Schizosaccharomyces pombe: one gene and its partners. The protein of the gene in region 1 interacts with the protein of each later gene in a pairwise test. Each region holds a gene or a part of one and is shown on either strand. Other genes may lie near its edges.

Region 1 (4,587 bases):
GCCGTAGACATTAAACATGTCTAGTTTATAAATTATATAGTCAAGAAATCTTGAATGCAGCCCTTAAGTGTAGCTTGTTATCAGTGCAGAAGAATAGTTCGTAGTAAGAAAAACTGCGTAGAACAATACTACAAAAAGGCAATAAAATCGATCAATTAGGTTTTCTTTTGAAAAATGGTTTATGATGATCAATCACTACATACCAGTTATTGTTTTATTGAGTGTATTCAGTAGGGAAGTATTTTTTCCCGCAATTTGGGTTGGTCAATGATTATGAAGATAAATTGAAAACAATGGACATACTTGATACAAATTGACGTGTTGCCATCGTTGTCGCATGTGGTAATATATTAAACCATTATATTTGACAACCATTACTTATATTGCAAGAGATTAAGCAAGTCTATTTATAAAAGCCTGTCAAAAAGTATTTATATGTTTGGAAATGTATAACCTGGAAAACCTACATTGATACACTGCTATACTCTATCACTTACTTAAGGTTAAAAAACAATAAATTCAAAATATATTATACCAAATAAAGTAAACTAAATTGAACCAAACCCAATATATTTTCTTTTTGTATCTCCTAATTAAAAACCCAAGACCGAAAGAGATATACTCTTGACGTTTATCTAATAATTTTTACAAAGCACGAATTTCCTAAACTGAACTGTCAAACAGATTATCTTAAAAACATTTCGTACAAGGCACCAATAATTACTCATCGATATCCTCTGCTTCTTCTTCACTCAGGTCATCCAATTCAATATCATCACTTTTGAGCGCTTGTTTCTTTTTCTGCCGCATTTGCTCCTTATGTTCTTGATCTTGCTGAACTGATTCACGAATGAGTTTTCTTTGCTCTTCTCTGGTTTGGCGTTGCGTTACAACATAAATACCAAGAGGCGTTTGCTGCCAATCTATTGTCTGTGCAAACTGTTCTACGGAATCGGAATCAATGGGAGCAAACTTCTGTTGATTTCGCTTCTCAGTCATAAACTTTGATTGTTGTTCAAGGCGATTCACCAAAGTCAACAATCCACGATTAAGTTTAGCATTTTTGCTTCTTTTAGCAAATCGCTTACTTCTGACAATAGCGGGTATAACGAGCTCAGGGAATGAAATGTCAGTGGCATATAAAACATAATATTCGCTCAAGAGTTCCAATAATTGATCAATTAAACCGTCCTGGTAGACCTTTGTTCTTAAGTATGACGAAGATGCACGCAACTCAACGTCAAAATCCAATGGCTTAAGCGTACTAGCTTTGGCTTTTCTTGACACATAAGAAGAATCCAAGACCTCGAATAGCGAAGGTGCAAGAGGGATAAACACACCAGTATGGCGCGATAAGTAAATTAGACTTCGGATGATGTGAAATCTCATTGGAAATAATTGCGATGACGGTGAACTCATTATAACTCCAAGGGCTATTTGGACTAAAGGATAGACCAAAGATTGTAATTCTGAAGCAACTCCCTTTTCTCTACTCAACCAGGCTGCTTGACTCAATAAACGAGCCCAAAAGTCTAGAGAATGCACATAACTCCAGCTTTGAACAGGCTTTCGAGAATCCTTACTAGGTTGATGAATGGTGTTACGAAGAGTAATAGCAAGTTGTCGAATGTAACGGAATCCGATTAAATAACATGATTCAGCGTCCAATAAAAAAAGATTAACAGCACTATTTTTCAGGAAATTAATTTTATCGAGTGTATGAACGGTAGTGTAAGCTGATTGTCGAGCCATACCAAGATAAACCTCTTTTAAAACGAATTCCAGCAGAGTTATGTCAGCTGTCAAGCATAATGTACGAAGCAATACAACAGCTGAAAACCGAACGCTGTCATCACGAGTCGAACTCCATACTTCAACAGTTGCCTGTGTAAACTGTTTAAGGAATTTTCGATAGGTAATCATATAAGGCAATACATTCTGAGCTTCCCGAAGTAGTAAAGAGATATTCTTGGCATCGGTCATCCCTTCTAGCAAACGTAAAATCGAAAATCCATAGGATTTTAACACAGGGCGTAGCTTCGGAAGCACCTTTGAATCAGTGTTTATAAATTTTTTTCCTTTCGCATCCTCTTGAATGGGAACATGATAATTCAACACTTTGGGGACGTACTGGATGGCTAACAACAAGAGGTCATTGAAAACTTTTGAATCGCTAATAGTGTATTTCAAATCTTCAGCCTCCTCCTCATTTAAGAATGCTGCTGCCTTAAACGCTTGCACGACCTTTTGTAGTGTGGTCAATGAATGGTTCGTCTCCAAAAGCTTTTGCCATTGTTGAATTGTATCACTTGTCAGAACGATTTTTCCGCTAGAAGATTTCAAACGTTCATTCTCATCAATTTCCTTCGCCATTGCGTCTGTTTCAGCGGCGTTGAATTCAAGCAAGTCTTGGTCATTCTGCTCAAGGAACTTGTAAAATTCTGGATCCTTTTCCTTTAGGCCTTCCAATTGCTTTTGATAAGATTCCAAGCCATCCTCTTCTTCTTCCGATGATTCAGAGGTAGAGTCTTGTGTATTTTCATTTGGCAAATTTTTTCTTTTTCTTGAGGAACCTGCATCATTCGAATTCGCAGAGTCTAATTCTTCAAATCCGCCTTCCAAAAAAGCATCCATTGACATGGAGTCATCTTCAGAAGGGGTGTCTTCGCTATTCACGTTTTGAATAAACTTTTCTACGTCTCTTTTCAATGTTTCATCTTTTCCCTCCTTTTTAGAATGCTTTTGTCGTATGCCTTTATCAGTGTCTTTCTTTTTTATTTTGTCATTCTTTTTAGCCAAAGCATTAGCTTTTCTGGCTTTTATAATGGAAGATAACTTCACCATGTGTGGTATGTGCACAGAGGTTGTTAGAATACCTCCTTCAAGAATTAGTGCCCACCATACTCAGTCCAAATTTCTTCACAATTTCCACACCAAAGATATGTCCTTAATAATCATACTCCGGCAAATTTATTAAATGTATATTGCTTTGAACAGAATTTTGCTTTTTGAGAATCGTGAGAAACCTTATAGGCCTTATGAATGTGAACAAAAAGCAGGAGTCGATACCAGTAAACACCGGATCTGAAAGTATTTCCTCTAACGACAATGAAAGGTTTGAGCAAGGAAAGGGCGTCGGCTCAAACCTTGGATCCCATTTCTTTGAGCCGGTAGAATACTATTATTCTGATGGTAAACCGATGAATCAAACAGAAGCAAGCCAGATGAAGGGAACCTTTTCTAGAGATTTTTCTTTAAATGAAATGAATAATGAATTTATCACAGATTCTTTCTTTTGTACAACGACTCCTGATCCAAAAACTGAATCTCCCTCTTTTGTGAAATACAATGCCCATTGTGATGACCACCCAGAGATTAGCGGCCATGTGTCCTCGAATGATAAAGACTTTGCATACTTTGAAGATAAATCTGAAAATCAACCACTGGTTACTCTTCCTAACGAGAATAATCAGGTTATTGAACCGTTAAGCTCACAAAGTTGTAAATCTCAATTATCAACCCAAAATTATTCGGAAAGTGATTTTGGTTGGAACCAGCTGTGTGATCTCGATCCTATATTTAAATCTTTGGCTTTTACAGACGATACTAATCTATTCCCTGCATTTGCAGACTCTGAAGCCGCACTGATTATGCTGAAGAAAAGAGAAATGACGAGAGTGAAGCATAGGGCAGGAAGGCCAAGAAAGTATTCGTATGTTAATAAAGATTTGAACTTCGAGGAAGGATTGCCAAGAAGAAGGGGAAGACCTACAGGCTGGAGGAAGTATCCTGAAAAGGAGGAAATATATCCTACTCTGTCTCCAAGGATTAAGAAACCGAGAAAAGTTTTCGATGCTGTAGTCATTCCGGTTACCATAAAACCTAGTATATATACAGAGCCCTCGTTACCTCATCATATCGATTGGAACAATGGTTGTTCTGAGGAATTTGATTTTGAGCCATCAAGAGAGGATGAAGACTTCCCTGATTTAACTTCTGATTCTACTGGTCAAGATCCATTGTCTAGTGAGCCGACTATTTTTGACATTTCTCCATTACCTAGTGATATGGAGCCAACTTTTTCCGAAAATTCATTAATTACCATTAACAAAATGGCAATAGAAGAACGGAAACAATCACGTCGACTTGAGCAACCACTAGCTGAATCTCAACATCAAGAAGATTTGTTGAATCCCTACGGTGTAGATCAAGACTTTGATGAAACTTGCATCAATGAGTCTGAACAACAAGCCACGCATATTCCTAATTCAAGTATTAAATTTAACTATGATTACACTCCCCCTAAGTCTGCTACCTCCCATAAGCATAAGAGGGTCGATCTTCTAGCATCTCGGAAGGAGAATGTTTGGACTGGATTGTATGGGAAAGTACAAACTGAAATGGTTTCCAACAGAGGCGAAGCTGTGTTGAATGAAAATAATAGCAAAAATCGTACTAATGTCACTAAGCCGAATTCATACAAAAACAGTGTTTTATCAATTGGGAATAATCATTCAAACCATTCTAATATTATTAAACCGAACACCTATAAAAATACTATTTTGTCCAATGAGAACAATACTCCAA
Region 2 (3,726 bases), on another chromosome or scaffold:
TTGATTCGCGAAAAGGCCCATTCTGGCGTGGTAAATCAAAAGGTTATAGATTCAATAAAACAACAACCTGACCACTATGCTGATGCGTATATATTTAATCGTCATTTTGTTATAGCCAAAGGAGATCAACTAGGATTGCCTTTTCACTTGAAAGGTGTCCAGGTTGGTGATACGATACGACTTGATAAAATCGCTTCCTTCGGCTCAAGAGATTTTACTCTCTTTGGTAACCCGTATGTAGACCCTTCATTGTTTACGATTGAAGCGGTTGTATTATCATTCCCTAAAAGCGCATTAAGTGTTCGAGTAAAACACAAGCGTCGTCATCGTCATGATCGTGTAATGAAACATAAACAAACGTATACTATTTTAAGGTAAGTGTGCAGCAATTCTATCATGTTACTAATCATCCAGGGTTACGGAACTCAAACTGAACTAATTCCCTTTCTTCTTTTTATCTAGTCTTCTACTTCACCCATGTATGCTGCTGACAACTAAAACATTTTGTAAATTAATATAATAATTTTGTGTATTAAGGGAAATAGTGACAAGTAATACTGAACGTTGTTCAATAAAATAATAAAAAAAATTTCAGAGAGGATCAAGAAATAATAAAACTCGTAGGAGGAGTACAAATCTAATTTAAGCAATTACAAATCAAGGATTAAGTAGGTAATTGCTGCGCAAAAATAATTCTTGCTCATTTAAAAATAAAGAGGAATAACAAAAACAACAAAAACAACAAAAACACAAAAGAGAAAAAATGCTTTTAAACTTTGAAACATACCCTGTACTTAAACCGCTGCAGTCTCGTACGTATTAGCGCCTAATACAGCAAGTTCCAACGTCCAAACTCTTCTTACCCAAGTTGCAAACTCGATCCCATTGTAGGTGATACTGGTAGAAGAATCCCACCAACACTTCCGAGCTGGTTTCTGCCAAAAGAGGAGCAACTTGTGATAAACAGGAAAATATTCAGGATCAGAGACAGGGCCCTGATCTGCACTAAAATCTAGGTTGGTCAAAGTGACTGAAGTAATACAAGCGCGATGTGGTTCTTGTATTCGCCGTTTCCATTCGTCATCTTCGTGAAATCCGCTGTAGCAAAGCATGCGTACAAGGTTCTTTTCAGCGGAACCTTCTGAGGTGGAGTTTTCGAGATGTAAACAATCAAAGATCTTCTTTTGTTGCAGCAATCGTTGGGCTACACGTTGTTTTAGTTTAAGCAAATCGTTCGGACTAACTTCAATGGCAATATTGGTGGTTGGTGAAATGGGTGGGAGGATAAAAAACTCAATGTCTTCTTTTAACAGAATTATACCACATTTTCCAGGAAAAGAAGGTGGAGGTGGTGATAATGCAATTTCATCATTAGCGGTACGATTTTCGGCCATTTGAAAATAATTTAATATGTACTGAAGTAATGAAGGATCAAAGTCAGCTGTTTGAAATATTAATGGCCTTTGAGTCAGTTGGCATTCTTGAATCTCATAATCCAACAACAGGCCTCTAGGAAATAAACACATCAAGATGGATTCCGGGAGGCCTAAAAGCTGATCTCTACTCAATTCAAATACTGTGTCACGATCGCATAATTGAATAATAATAGGATCTCCTTCATAATTGAAATCGGGATTGGCTGCTACAGTAGGTATTTCCTGAGCCTGAGTTATCACAGACATGAAGGCACAAAAATTCGAGTGTTTAAAAGAGAAGTTTCAATAAAATAAATTATTTTTTAATCAAGGGTAATGATAAATAAAGATACAATCATATATGCGAATGCAACGTACTTATAGGTACTATGAAAGCGGTGCCTTTGATATCGATGCCTACGCAACCTGCACAGCACAACGTTATATGACCATACATACTCCACTATATAACGCATTTTTCTTAGTGTATAATAAAGTTCGTTAAATCATTAAGATTACTGTAGAACAGGAGTAGCACCAACTTTGGGAGGTAAAACCAAAGGTTGATTGCGATGCCAAAAATTTAAAAGTAGAGAGGAAATCTTAGCGGGAACATCTTCATGAACAAAATGACCAGTTTCAGGAAGAATCTCAAGTTGATATTTTCCTTGCATTTGTCCAATTGTTAACGTTTTATCTAGACGATCGGTACCAGCGACAATAAGCATCCTTCCATATGGTGCTCTTAGGAATTTGTCACTTAAACCCTTAAACCAGTCCATCCAATACGGCGATGTTTTGTAAAGATCGGTTCGCCAAACGAATGTGCCATCTTCCTGCTGAACGAGAAGTGAAGGAACTGTAATACAGGCCGATAATCTGTTTCTAGTAACTAAAGTCTTGATATGCCAAGAAATTGCATCATCAATTGATTTAAAGCTAGTAGGACGATTAGAGAGGTACGTTTTCATAAAACCCAATGCTTCCATCGCAGTCCCTTCAACCACATCAATGACAACAAGTCCAGAAGTATTGGGAATAGTTTTTTGAAAAGCACAGTAAGCACAAATGGCACCTCCTAAGCTATGTCCGACCAAAATGATTTTTTCATCAAGCTCAAACATACGTTGAACATAGGAGACTGCGTGAGTAAAGTCCTTAGATAATGTTTCCAAGCTCATATCTGATTCGGGTTCTAACGTTGTTTCTCCATGAGCTCGAAGGTCCAACGCTAAAAAACCAACCTTATTATCTGAATTACTCAAGAGCTCTTGTGTAACCGGTGCAAATGACATGGCACTTGAGCCAGCACCGTGTTGCAAAACAAGTAAGCAACCATCTGGTTGTGGAAGTGTTAAGTACCCATTGATAGTCCCATTCAAAGCCCCACTTTCACCAGGAATTGTTAACTTTTCATCAAAGTAATTTCGCCAATCGCTTAAACTCTCTTCATTATTTAACATTAGTTCCTTGGTTTCGGATGATTGCTCAGATTCATTCTCATAGAGTGTTTGACTGAGTTCTTCTTTACGAAATGCCATTATAAAGTATTATAATATCTTTTTTAGCTTACACGCAGCACTATAAATAGTTCACACGAATTCCTCGTTGGTTTTATGAAGATAGAATATACAATCCCAGAAGCAGAAACGGACCTGATTGAAAAAAAAAAAAATTAATTCAATGTAATTCTGAAATCGATAAATTTTAAAACAAACAATGTGTATTCCCCAGGTAGCTAAGTTGAGTAAATAATATGCAGTGGAAGTTTCCTGTACTTACTGCGGATTCCTCAATGCTCAAATGATTTACACGCCTTCCATCGCCTACGTAAAAAAATTAACGACGTAACATTTAAATATGTTACCTCGCTTTACACCAACGCTATTTTTCCTTACAGACAAATGTGACTAAAATACAATGGTAAAAGTAAGATTGAAAATCATAATTAATTTATACTTTTTATGCTAGTATGAGACAAAAATATGAGTAGATGAATGTATTATCTACTTTTGGCAATAAGCTGGTTTTATTTGAGACCTGTCATAGAAGATGATTGGGTAGATTTCTCTTGCAACTGTTTAATTAGTAGTAATCGTCCAGCTGGTAGAGCTACCGACATTGGAGTAAAGCTAGCAAACAGCTTTGGATTAACAAAAGGAAGTTCAAAAGGTGTTATTCTAGAAATATCTCTGTGGTCGTGGATACTGGTCTCTATTTTTGCGGTAGAATCATTATTGGCAGAAAAATCCTCCTCAGTAGTCAGTTGAGTTTCATCTTGATTTCTTTTCTTTAACAAGATTGACTTTTT
Region 3 (5,735 bases), on another chromosome or scaffold:
AATATATCCTTCTCCCTTATTGAAAAAGGAACTTAATTAGCTGATCCTTTGAATAAAAGCAATGGCAATTGTTAAAATGAGTAATTTTTAGAATTGGAAATGCTGTGTATCTGTCAAACCCCTCTTAAAAAAAGAAAGGAATAAGGAAAATGAAAACAATCTACAAAATTGAATCGAAGAGACACACCACAGGGAATGAGCAAAAGCACGGTTTACCTAATTAGTAGTACCGAGTTAATTATGTGACGTTTTCAGTTTTTGTATGGTAAGCTCTAATAGTTTTAACATGATGTAACGATGCAGTAAAATAACTAGCCAGATATATTGTGCTCTTTTTAACTTTCGCTAAAAGTTCTTGGGGTAATACACGGAAAGTGCATCTGGGCACTAAAATCATTTAACAGGTTGCTTATTATTCATTCAGTAATTGAAAGTCGCCCAGATTTGTTATGTTTACCAGTAATAGCAATGTTTAATTCTTTGCACATAAAACTCCGTCAAGGTTAAGTCTGAATCTTCTTTTGCTTATACGGGATAATTTGTTTTGATAAAACTAACATTATCGATGTTACCTTTAAACGTTAGTCGTCTTTTGTTTGCTATTTAAATGTCTCGTATGATAAATTGATTGATTAAAAATGAATTGTATAGAAAGAGCAATTTTTTCGACAAAATAGGAAAGTATATCATCCTCATTAGTGCATGTCGAATTGCAATAAAGCTTGATCGTATAAACCTCATTTACAAAACTGATTAAGACATTTGATTCTTAGTTGTTTACAGTGGTTTAATATCTTTCTATTTGATGCCGCTTAATAAAAACAATTGGTATAACTTTAAAAGTTGTTAGGGAATATTGAAACAGTTTACTTTAAAACTTATAAGCAATGACTGAAACATGCTTAAATGCCGGGCTTAGTATCAAAGATAGCCTTATGATTTATTTGTTTGATAGCTTGAACCCAGATATTGTGAATTTTCTTGCTTTTCGCTTTTAAGACGATGGGCTTATCAGTTGTCTGCATCACAATAACTTCATTATGTAAATTGGCGTTCTTTAAGGCATCTGGGGCTTTTATAATAGTCATTCCCTTAATTTTCACAGACTTGACTTGATTTTTCCTTCCTTTTTCAATAAATGGATTTGTTTTAGACCAGCACAGCATTTCACAATGCGGGTTAATCCAAAAATAGCGCCAATGACTCTTTTTAAACATTTTGAAACTCTCACTTCTCGGGTACTTCATCATTTCGTTTCCCATCATGACATGTTTCATCAATTTGTTCACAGAATTTGCATTACAAGTTGAAGAAGATAAACCTGATAGATTCAAATTATCTCTGCATTTTTTCGTATTTGTTTTGCTTTTGAGATTATTGCGAGGTAAGGTGAATACGTCTGACACCGTCGACAAGGAAATAGAAATCGTCGTAGCCGTACTTCTTGCTTTCAATTGACGTGCTGATTGCGAGGAATCATGCCGAGTTTTTTCAACTTCAGCTGTTGGATAAGTACGAGTATTCTTAGGTGCAGACGGATAAGTTGACGCCTCCCAATTATTATGTTTTGTAAAGTCTTTGAAAAGCATTGAGGAAGTTCCGTTTGAATGTCTTGAAGACATATTAATGTCCAAAGTAACATCAGAAGTTTCCAATGATTGACGTGAAGCAATTGAACGATTCTTAAACATCGAGGATTGAGCAATTTTTTCCCATTGTTCCCAGTCATGCTCTTGATATGGGATCTTTCGAGGAAAAACTGCCTTGCCTTGCCTCATACAATTCATAGATCCATTGGAACATAGCTTTTTCGAATTCCTAACATTACTGTGGGAAATATCCGTAGATAATCTAAAATTCTTAAATTCAGCTATTTCTGGATTACTATAGTGGCGCAACCTCCGACGAGGAATCGAGCAGTCAATAATAGCGCTAGTTAATTTTCTTTTCAACCTCGTGGTAGCAACATTTGAAAGCGCATCGGTCCTTAGAATGACACTATTAGCTGATGTGTCATTTACTTCATTTTTTATTAAGGAAAAAACAGAGCTGATAAATTCCATATTCTTTTGCAGATTCCACTGCATGGAGATTGTATTTGCACCACATACAAAGTCTTTGACATTTTTTAGACAACAGAAGTGATTCTCCAGAATATCATGTTGTATACGGTTTAATACATGATTTCCATAGGAATTTAAAATAGGTTTAACAAGCCTATAAGAGGAGACGCGATTGTTTAAATAATTTTCACGTCCACCTTTGTTTAATGCAGGCAGGTAAGAAACATCACGTTCGTAAATAGAAGAATGATTTAAAATGTTTTCTTTTAGTTTGAAATTAGCAAATTTTTCAGTATCTTTCAAATGCATCTCAGTACTTGCAGACATGTCGCATTTTGAAGAATTCGTATCTATAGGAAATTTTTGGCGAGGTTCAAATTGAGCCAATTCAAAAATTTCCTGGCGATCTGAGCTTTTAGTCGGTTTGAAAAGTTTAATGACTTGTTTATTTTTTGAGTCAATATCTTTTATTGAAATTTGAGAGGTGAGAGATTGAAAGAATGACTGAATAAGATGATTCAGAGAAAGTGGGTACAAGCAAGAAAGCTGAAAAAGGCCCAAGTTACTTTTCAGCGCCTTTTGTAGTTGCTGATAAGACAAAAGGAAGCAAATAAACTCATCATCTCTGTCGGTTTCATCTTCGATGTCTATAGAGTTTTCTGGTGATACTGCCTTGTTCAGAGACCTGATTGATTTCTTTATGTCAGCTTTTGTGTTTTCAATTATTTCCGATGATAAATTTGGAGACGGTGTTTTAGTATCGTCAGCTACCAAATGATTTACACTCACTAACTCCTGTTTTGCTAAATTGATGGATTTGAGAACGGCCGATGATTGAGATACCGAAGTTTGTACATTGGATTCCAACGACAAAAAAGGATCTATTGGAAAATCGTGTTTCTCTTCTTGCTCCGCATCAAAAGATGAACTATCAAAATACTTATCCGAGGAAGACTCCAAAAATACAGAATCGTCGTTTTCATCCTCAGTTACCAAAGTATTTTTAGAATCTTCACTTTCATCTATAGTTTCGCCTTTTTCGGCATTCAGTTGAAGCTCGTGAAGGCAAATTCTTAAATTTGTTAATTCCAATGTCAGTTTGTTCTTCTCATCGTTAAGTGAAACGGTCAAAGACTCTACTTCTGTCAATTTTTTCATTAATCCTTGTAGTCTTTGTTCAAGCAAATCCCTTTGTCCTTGCACCTTAGTCTTCTCTTTCATAAGTGTTTTCATGTTTGAAGAAAGTAGATCAAGTTGCTTGATTAAATGGGCATTATCCACTGACAACTTTTTATGCAAATCTTCTTTCTCTGACAGTTGCAGCCTTAAATACCGCAACTGTTGCAGAAGGTTTAAGCCAATGTTAGTAGCATATTGTAGATTGGTTTCAGTAACTGAATATTGATCTACTTGAGAAGACTCACTGAAGCAATTTGTGTTCTTCCTTCTTTCAATTGCAATGTCTTGACGTTGAATAGTAAGCATCTCCGTAATTCTCACCTCCTCCTCCGCTAAATTTTTTTCCAAGTCGCGTAATTTATATCGATTATCAAATTTGTTATTAAAATATGTTTTATTTTCCTTTTGAACCACTTGGTCTTTAATTTCTTGTTCGATTTTTCGTGTTTCACAAAGAATGCTTTCCTCTAACGCTTTCGCATAAGCAAGCTTTATTTTTGCACTTTCATTTCTATTTTTTAAATCAATTGAATATAATTCCACCTCGTTATCTTGTTTTTTCTCCATGAAGGATCAGTATATGTTTTGGTAAGCTCAACTCTCTTTGTCTTTTATATATCGATAAACTCGTAAGCATGCATATCGCAACAGTCATCGTCTTGAATACATAATTTTTATTTCTGGAATTATATCAATTCAATTCGTGTTCTCATTTGGCAAATTTCTCGTATTACGCTTTAACAATAAAACTTAGTAAAAGCAAAAAAACTGTATTTATATTGATGCATTTGCTAGAGTACTTGAATATCTAGCGAAGCTTTAGCAGCTTTCAATATATATATCGGTATAAATACCATTAGTTTGTACTTAAAAATTAACTATTACTTTACAAATGTACCCTGAGCCTCATGATTGACTTGCAAAAAATTGATTTGACGAGGCTACACATGTGTTTAGACAATAATTAACTTTATTTATATTCATATTTAGTTTATTTACTATTTCGAAAAGATTTAAATGCTAATTGTAGACAGTATAAAACGTTTAAAACACAACTCGATATAAGGATTGATTACAGCATATACACCGAGCGGTGAAGTACTCATCGTTAAAATGCATAACGTCCGTTAATGATATTGTTGTAAACAGATACCGAATTACAATGAAAAATAGTGACTGAAAGCACCACGATCACGTATATAATAGTTATTTGACTCTATAAAGAACATAATTCTGCCATAACACTTCAAAATTATGCACGTGAAATATACATAGTACACTGCTTAACAAATCTATTTGTTATATTTTAGGCAAACCAAATAATTAAGTAAAGCGGCATTGCCATTTAATGAGAAATACATTTATTAATAATTACAATCTTGGTGCAATCTACGGTATTGCATTCATTCACCACCACGTTTGAATTTCGTCTTCACTTTTGAAAATTTGGTGACGAACGCCAACGTCGTAAATTCGAAGCTGACGTCTACCCTTAATCCGCCGTAGAAATGGATTCTACGAAGGAAGAGGAAGATTTAAATAATAATATTGATGAAATTTCAGATGGAGAAAATGAAGAAGAGGAATTAGACGAAGCAATTGCAGCTGCATTGCAGAAGATCGAAGTGCCATCGATTCCCAGACGTGTAAAAGTGTACGAAATGGAAGATGAAAACTGGGTAGACTGTGGCACCGGTTATTGCGATGGAAAAATAGAGGGACCGTTGGCTTATTTCATTGTGCGTTCAGAAGCTGATAATGAAACCATCCTTTTGAAAACACAATTGATTGCGGAAGATATATACAGCCGTCAAGAAGAAACTCTCATAGTCTGGCAAGAATTGAATGGTACTGATCTTGCTTTAAGCTTTCAAGAATCTAGCGGTTGTATAGACATGTGGATGTTTTTAGCAAATGTTCAAAAGGCAATATCATCGGTAACTAGAAGTTACTCCAACGATGATATATTGACGGATGAGGGGGCGCTTAATGAAAACTACCTAAACACGGTCGATCTTCCAGCCCCAGAGCTTGCTAATTTAAAAGAAATTGAAGAAGCAGTATATGGATATATGCAGTCTATTCAATCAAGAGATAGTTTGGTTCGTTATGTTTCAAATGAAAATTATATTGATAGACTTATTGAACTTTTTCCTCTGTGTGAGGATCTAGAGAATACAGATGACCTTCATCGATTGTGTTCCATAATAAAAAGCTTTGGTATGTTAATCTACTTTATACTTTTTAGATTCGTTAAATCCTTGCTAATCGCTGTCAGTGCAATTGAACGACGCCCCTTTACTCGAATCGTTGTTCTCTAATGATGAAAAGCTAATGTGTGTAGCTGGTATTCTCGAATACGATCCGGAATTCCCCAATATCAAAGCGAACCATCGGGAATATTTAATGGATTCCAAAAAGTTTAAGCAGGTGGTTCCCATTCAGGATCCACGGATTCTTGCAAAAATTCACCAGACATTTAAGCTTCAGTAT
Region 4 (5,824 bases), 420 kb from region 1:
CGAAGAAACAGAGAGGTTTTTCACTGAGTCATTAGAAACATGGAGAATCGGTCATGGTATCGAGAAAATGATCCTTGTGGGCCATAGTATGGGAGGTTATTTGTCTGCTGTCTACGCCATGCAATATCCGGAACGTGTTGAGAAACTCTTACTAGTTAGTCCAGTTGCCATTCCTGAAAACCCTTTTGCAAGCAACGATGATGCGGAAGTTTACAATTCCGTTGCTTCCTCTGCTGTGCATGCTGTTATGGATGAACCTCCTTTAAGTAATGTTACTAATGAGGTTCTGCAAACCCAAGAGGAAACTACAGGTTTAGAGCCTTCCCGGCCAAGCAAGCCAAAGAATCCTCTTCCAAGATTTATCACCTTCTTATGGGAGCAAAATGTTACACCATTTTCTCTACTTCGTTTAAGCGGGCCTTTAGGTCCTAAACTAATGAGTTTTTGGTCTAGCAGAAGGTTTTCAACGCTTCCCCCGGAAACGTTTAGGGCATTACATAATTACTGCTACTCAATATTTCGTCTCAAGGGTTCCAGCGAGTATGCACTTGGCAATTTGCTCGCTCCCGGAGCTTTCGCTAGACGATGTATTATGAATCGCTTGCGCATGTTGAAGTGTCGAACTATATTCATGTATGGAGATAAAGATTGGATGGATGATGTTGCTGGTTTAGAAGCGACAAACAGATTGAAGGAGATGAATATTGAGGCGGAGCACCACATAATTTCAAATGCTGGTCACCATTGCTATCTTGATAACCCTGAAGATTTTAATGAGATTGTACTAAAGGAGATACGAATGAGTTTACGTTCTTTTTCTTCGATTTCAGAGTAAATTTTTATTTTTTATGCCCTTCGCTTAGTGCTTCATTATTTTTATTTATTCTTTCTTGTCCTGCAAACTATCCCATGTGATGCTGTTATAGACCTCATTCATTAATTTATACTACACATTATTCTTTGGATTCCAATTGAACGACTTTTTTTTACCTAACTTTTTATCGGTCCATTTTGAATCGATTTTTATTGCATTGACGCTCATTTGCTTCATTTATCGCAATTTTATTTTTTTGTCCGATTACTTGTCCAGCATGTGTTTTCAAATGTTTTATTTTTAAAATGTGCCTTATAAATCAAATTTTGTAATATTTGTAGGCCATTTACTACAATTAGCTTATAAAGTAAATAACAGTTTTTGTGGTTGTCTATTTTAAATTCTATCCTATAGAGTAATTGGAAAAATACATTTTTCTTGCTCTAAGCTTTTCAAACGTGAAGCATATTTCGTACTTCTAAATTTCAATTCAAACAGAGCATTCAACGGTAATGTATACTATTGCGCTTAAACTTGTATCTACTCTCCCTTCTTTATGTTTAATGAAGATATAAATTATAAACATCATACAGTATTACAAAAATTTATTGTAGGGTATTGCAATTGTATTCGTTGTTCTAAGACTTCTCTACTCTAAGTTGCCGTTTCCTGATGGACTGTGTGTTTCCATTACCCTCCACAAGTTATGCTCTTTTCATATTATTTCGAAAATTTTACTTTTTAATTCTTTTTTAAAACTAAAATATATATTTTTTCTATTTTATTTCTTTTTTAAGCGTAAAAACCGAACCTTTTAAAAAACTCCTTGGATTAAACTTTCGCTTTGATTACCATCTGCAACTGCAAAACCAGTAAGCGATTTTGCAAGGTAAAGATCGCAATACATGGTTCAAAAGGTTTTAAGCCGTCAATCGGATAACTCTCAGGATGTGTCTGCTGAACAGCTTGATGTAGTGGAATCCGGTAGCATTGATCAGCAAAATATACGTGCATGGGTTGTTCGCAAAGTCAAAGAAAATGATAAAAGGACATCTACGAACCAAAGTTTTAAATGGGAAGCTGTAAAACCGGCTTCTTGTCTAGATGCTGCGAATGAAAAATTCATGTACTTACATGGAGGACGAGAAAAATCTGGTATTTCAAACTCTTTGTTTAAGTTGGACCTGGATTCATGCACGGTTTATTCTCACAATAGAGGGGAAGACAATGATTCTCCTGCTCGAGTTGGTCATTCTATCGTTTGTTCTGCTGACACTATTTATCTTTTCGGAGGATGCGACTCAGAAACAGATTCCACATTTGAAGTTGGCGATAATTCATTGTACGCATACAATTTCAAGAGTAATCAATGGAATTTGGTTTCAACACAGTCCCCCTTACCATCGCCTCGCACTGGACATTCTATGTTGTTAGTTGACTCTAAATTATGGATATTTGGGGGTGAATGTCAAGGAAAATATTTGAATGATATACATTTGTTTGATACCAAAGGGGTTGATCGGAGGACGCAATCAGAACTCAAGCAAAAGGCAAATGCAAATAATGTTGAAAAGGCTAATATGGAATTTGATGAGACTGATTGGTCATGGGAAACACCGTTTTTGCATAGCTCATCCCCTCCACCTCGTTCAAATCACTCAGTTACTCTTGTCCAAGGAAAAATATTTGTACATGGAGGGCATAATGATACTGGTCCATTAAGTGATCTTTGGCTTTTTGATTTAGAAACACTTTCATGGACCGAGGTTCGTTCTATAGGAAGATTTCCAGGTCCGCGGGAAGGTCATCAAGCTACTACAATAGATGACACGGTTTACATTTATGGTGGTCGTGATAATAAAGGGTTGATACTCAACGAGCTTTGGGCTTTTAATTATAGTCAACAGCGGTGGTCCTTAGTCTCAAATCCGATCCCTATTTTGCTTTCTGATTCATCTTCATACAAAATTGTTTCAAAAAACAATCATATTTTACTATTATATCTTAATGCACTTGACGCTCCTAAGCAACTGTTATGTTATGAAGCAGATCCCAAAAATTTGTATTGGGATAAGGATAAATTTTCTGATATTCCTGTTCTTCAGCATATTAGCATGAAACCTTCAAATGCTTCAAACCACACGGTTTCTCTTGGTTACCTAAACGACCGTCCTAATCATTCCAAAAAGAATTCTGTGACATCCACCTCGTCTAGTCAATTTAACAATTTTTTGGAGCAAAATCAAAAAGCCGTAAGATCAGCTAGGCATCGGCACTATGCTAGCTTGGATGAACAAGGATTACATTCTTTGAGAAACCTTAGTAAAACCTCTGGAATGAATCATTCAGCAGATTTCTCTCTTCACGAGTTTGGGCAAGCTGACCCCTTTGCTTACGAAATTGAGAAACCTATTGCGTCTCTTCCTTTACCTAATGGAAACGATACTATTTCTAGGTCTTCCGAATCTTCATCTCCAATCAACGAAAGTGAAAGTAATTCTCTGCTTAAACTCCAATCAGATTTTAAGTTTTCTAATTCTGATGATCGTGTAGCTTGGCTTGAGGAGCAACTGTTATATTGTATGCAACAAGGCTATACTCTCAAACCTCCTAACCTGTTTCAACACGTTGATGAAAAATTGAGGCTTGAGAAAAAAGAGCAGCTCAGTTATTTGGAAATACTGAAGGTGATTGAGCAAATGCTTGAATCTAATGAACAAAAGTTTAAAAAGCAAATCGTTAGCCTAGCATCTGAAAACGCAAAATTGGCTGCTCAGAGAGATGCTGCCGTGGAAAATGCAAATTATTCACGTTCACTGATCCAGAAAAAGACAACGGACGAAACTGTTGGATCTTTAATAGAAAAAGTTGGAAAGTTAGAGTACGAAGTTCAAGGGACTCTTGAAGAGGCAACCTCTTATTATCAAAAAAATACTGAACTTCAACAGTTATTGAAGCAAAATGAATCCGCTTCTGAACTCTTAAAATCTCGAAATGAGAAACTTTGTGTAGATTATGATAAACTTCGTAGTGTGTTTGAAGAAGATTCATCAAAAATACTATCTTTACAAAAAGAAAATGAAAACCTACAATCACAGATATTGCAAATTTCAGAAGAGTTAGTCGATTATCGTTCTCGTTGCGAGGCTTTGGAGTATGGAAATTATGAGCTGGAAACGAAGCTAATTGAGATGCATGATCGAGTGGAGATGCAGACAAATGTGATTGAAGCATCCGCTAGTGCTCTTGATGTGTCCAATACTGCCATATTGTCTTTTGAAGATTCGCTCCGTAGAGAAAGGGATGAGAAAAGTACGTTGCAACAGAAGTGCTTAAATTTACAGTACGAATATGAGAATGTTCGGATTGAGTTGGAAAATTTGCAATCTCGTGCGCTAGAGTTGGAGTCAGCCTTAGAACAATCAGTGTCTGATGCTAAATACTCGAAAGCTATAATGCAAAGCGGATTATCAAAGTTATTATCTTCTATTAACGAAAATAAAGATAATCTTAAAGAGTTTTCGAAGTCGAAACAAAAGATCTCCTACTTGGAGTCTCAGCTAGAAGGGCTTCACGAGTTGTTACGTGAGTCCCAGAGACTTTGTGAGGGTCGCACTAAAGAGCTACTAAATTCTCAGCAAAAGCTCTATGATCTAAAGCATTCATATTCCTCTGTAATGACAGAGAAAAGTAAACTTTCTGATCAGGTCAATGATCTTACCGAGCAAGCAAAAATTACTCAGCGTAAGCTCTCTGAGGTACAAATTGCATTGGCTGATTCAAAAATGAATCAACAGTTATCAGGAAAGGACTCTACTGACGTTCATCTTCCTACGGACTTTTCAGCTTCCTCCTCTCCCTTAAGATCATACTTTAACGAAGAGGATTCATTCAATAATGCTAGTGCTGCACATAGTTCAAAAGAATCTGACATACCTTCTGGTGGTGTGTTTACAAAATATCGTAATCATTTTGGTAATTTGATGACATCTGAAGAAACAAAAGCCCCGGATAACAATGATTTACATAAAAGACTTTCTGATGTTATCAACAGTCAGCAAAAATTTTTGTCTTTGTCCCCTCAGGTATCTAAAGATTATTATGATGTTCGCTCAAAACTAAATGATACCGCGGGCTCATTTTCAGGTGAAGAAATGCGTGCAATTGATGATAATTACTATGCCAGTCGTATTAAGCAACTGGAGGATGATTATCAAAAAGCCATAACATATGCCAATTGCTCAGATGAGTCATTTCAGCAGCTTAGTCATTCATTTATGTAACTCTATTCATCAACTAAGGATTTTTTATCTCTTTTTTGGTTTGTACAATTTTCTTAATAATTTTTTGAAGTGGTTTGATTTTTTCTACTTAATCTCAAGTCGTTTGACTACGTATGTAAATTACCACTATATTTAACAATAAAATACGCAATTATTTCTACTGCATTTACATTGACTCATTTATATTTTAAAAAGTAATGAAATTTAATTAACTTTTAAAAAGTAAGAGAAAATTTAAAGTATTAGATTGATGAGGATACTCTCAAGTGCAAATTACTAAACTGGTATTAAATGCTAATTCCTTAACCACGCGAACAAAGCATATGATGAATTACGTAGAAATAATTAAAACAAACAAAGACCTGCAAAAAACCATTAAAGATTCATCCATTTTTTTCAAGGGTCAAATTTGAAGTTTGCTCTGCAGTATGCGAAGACTGCTCAGAGACATTAGTAGGGCCTAGCAGTTCCGTCCAACTCAAAAACGTAGGAGCCGTCCATTGTTTATCAACTTCCAAATTGAGAACTGGATCCGGTAGAAAAGTTTCAGGTGTGAGCAAACTGGGTTGGTTACTAACATAACTTTTGTTTAGACCCGGAACATTATAGAGAGATGATGTTTGGTCAAAAGGTTGGAATGCTTCGTTTGGAGTACTATTACTACCATTTGAGCTTTCTCCTGTAAGCTTAAAGGTAGAAAGCATGTCTCCATGTGACATATCTCCCA

The links.
Region 2: the proteins of noc201 (region 1) and SPOM_SPBP4H10.16C interact in a two-hybrid assay, tested with the Schizosaccharomyces pombe proteins (one large-scale study listed by BioGRID).
Region 3: the proteins of noc201 (region 1) and num1 interact in a two-hybrid assay, tested with the Schizosaccharomyces pombe proteins (one large-scale study listed by BioGRID).
Region 4: the proteins of noc201 (region 1) and tea3 interact in a two-hybrid assay, tested with the Schizosaccharomyces pombe proteins (one large-scale study listed by BioGRID).

What each region holds. Positions count from the first base shown.
Region 1 is NC_003424.3:3,629,793-3,634,379, reverse strand, and holds noc201 (Noc complex Noc2 family subunit), read right to left. Parts: upstream 2,860-4,587; 5' UTR 2,845-2,859; coding exon 721-2,844; 3' UTR 506-720; downstream 1-505. Other genes in the region: DNA recombination mediator Swi2, read left to right, coding at 3,039-4,587.
Region 2 is NC_003423.3:2,905,443-2,909,168, forward strand, and holds SPOM_SPBP4H10.16C (phosphatase activator), read right to left. Parts: upstream 1,798-3,726; 5' UTR 1,683-1,797; coding exon 795-1,682; 3' UTR 520-794; downstream 1-519. Other genes in the region: aco2 (aconitase/ribosomal domain-containing protein), read left to right, coding at 1-374, 415-439; SPOM_SPBP4H10.17C (carboxyl methyl esterase), read right to left, coding at 1,931-2,956; SPOM_SPBP4H10.18C (uncharacterized protein), read right to left, coding at 3,445-3,726.
Region 3 is NC_003423.3:896,149-901,883, reverse strand, and holds num1 (dynein-anchoring factor Num1), read right to left. Parts: upstream 3,829-5,735; 5' UTR 3,810-3,828; coding exon 903-3,809; 3' UTR 521-902; downstream 1-520. Other genes in the region: serine/threonine protein phosphatase PP4 regulatory subunit 3 Psy2, read left to right, coding at 4,751-5,462, 5,521-5,735.
Region 4 is NC_003424.3:3,213,963-3,219,786, reverse strand, and holds tea3 (cell end marker Tea3), read left to right. Parts: upstream 1-1,513; 5' UTR 1,514-1,719; coding exon 1,720-5,097; 3' UTR 5,098-5,274; downstream 5,275-5,824. Other genes in the region: cardiolipin-specific phospholipase Cld1, read left to right, coding at 1-835; DNA-binding transcription factor Thi1, read right to left, coding at 5,481-5,824. UniProt on the Schizosaccharomyces pombe protein: Acts as a cell end marker required for efficient new end take-off (NETO), whereby growth is activated at the cell end to generate bipolarity in extending cells. Also required for proper placement of the septum.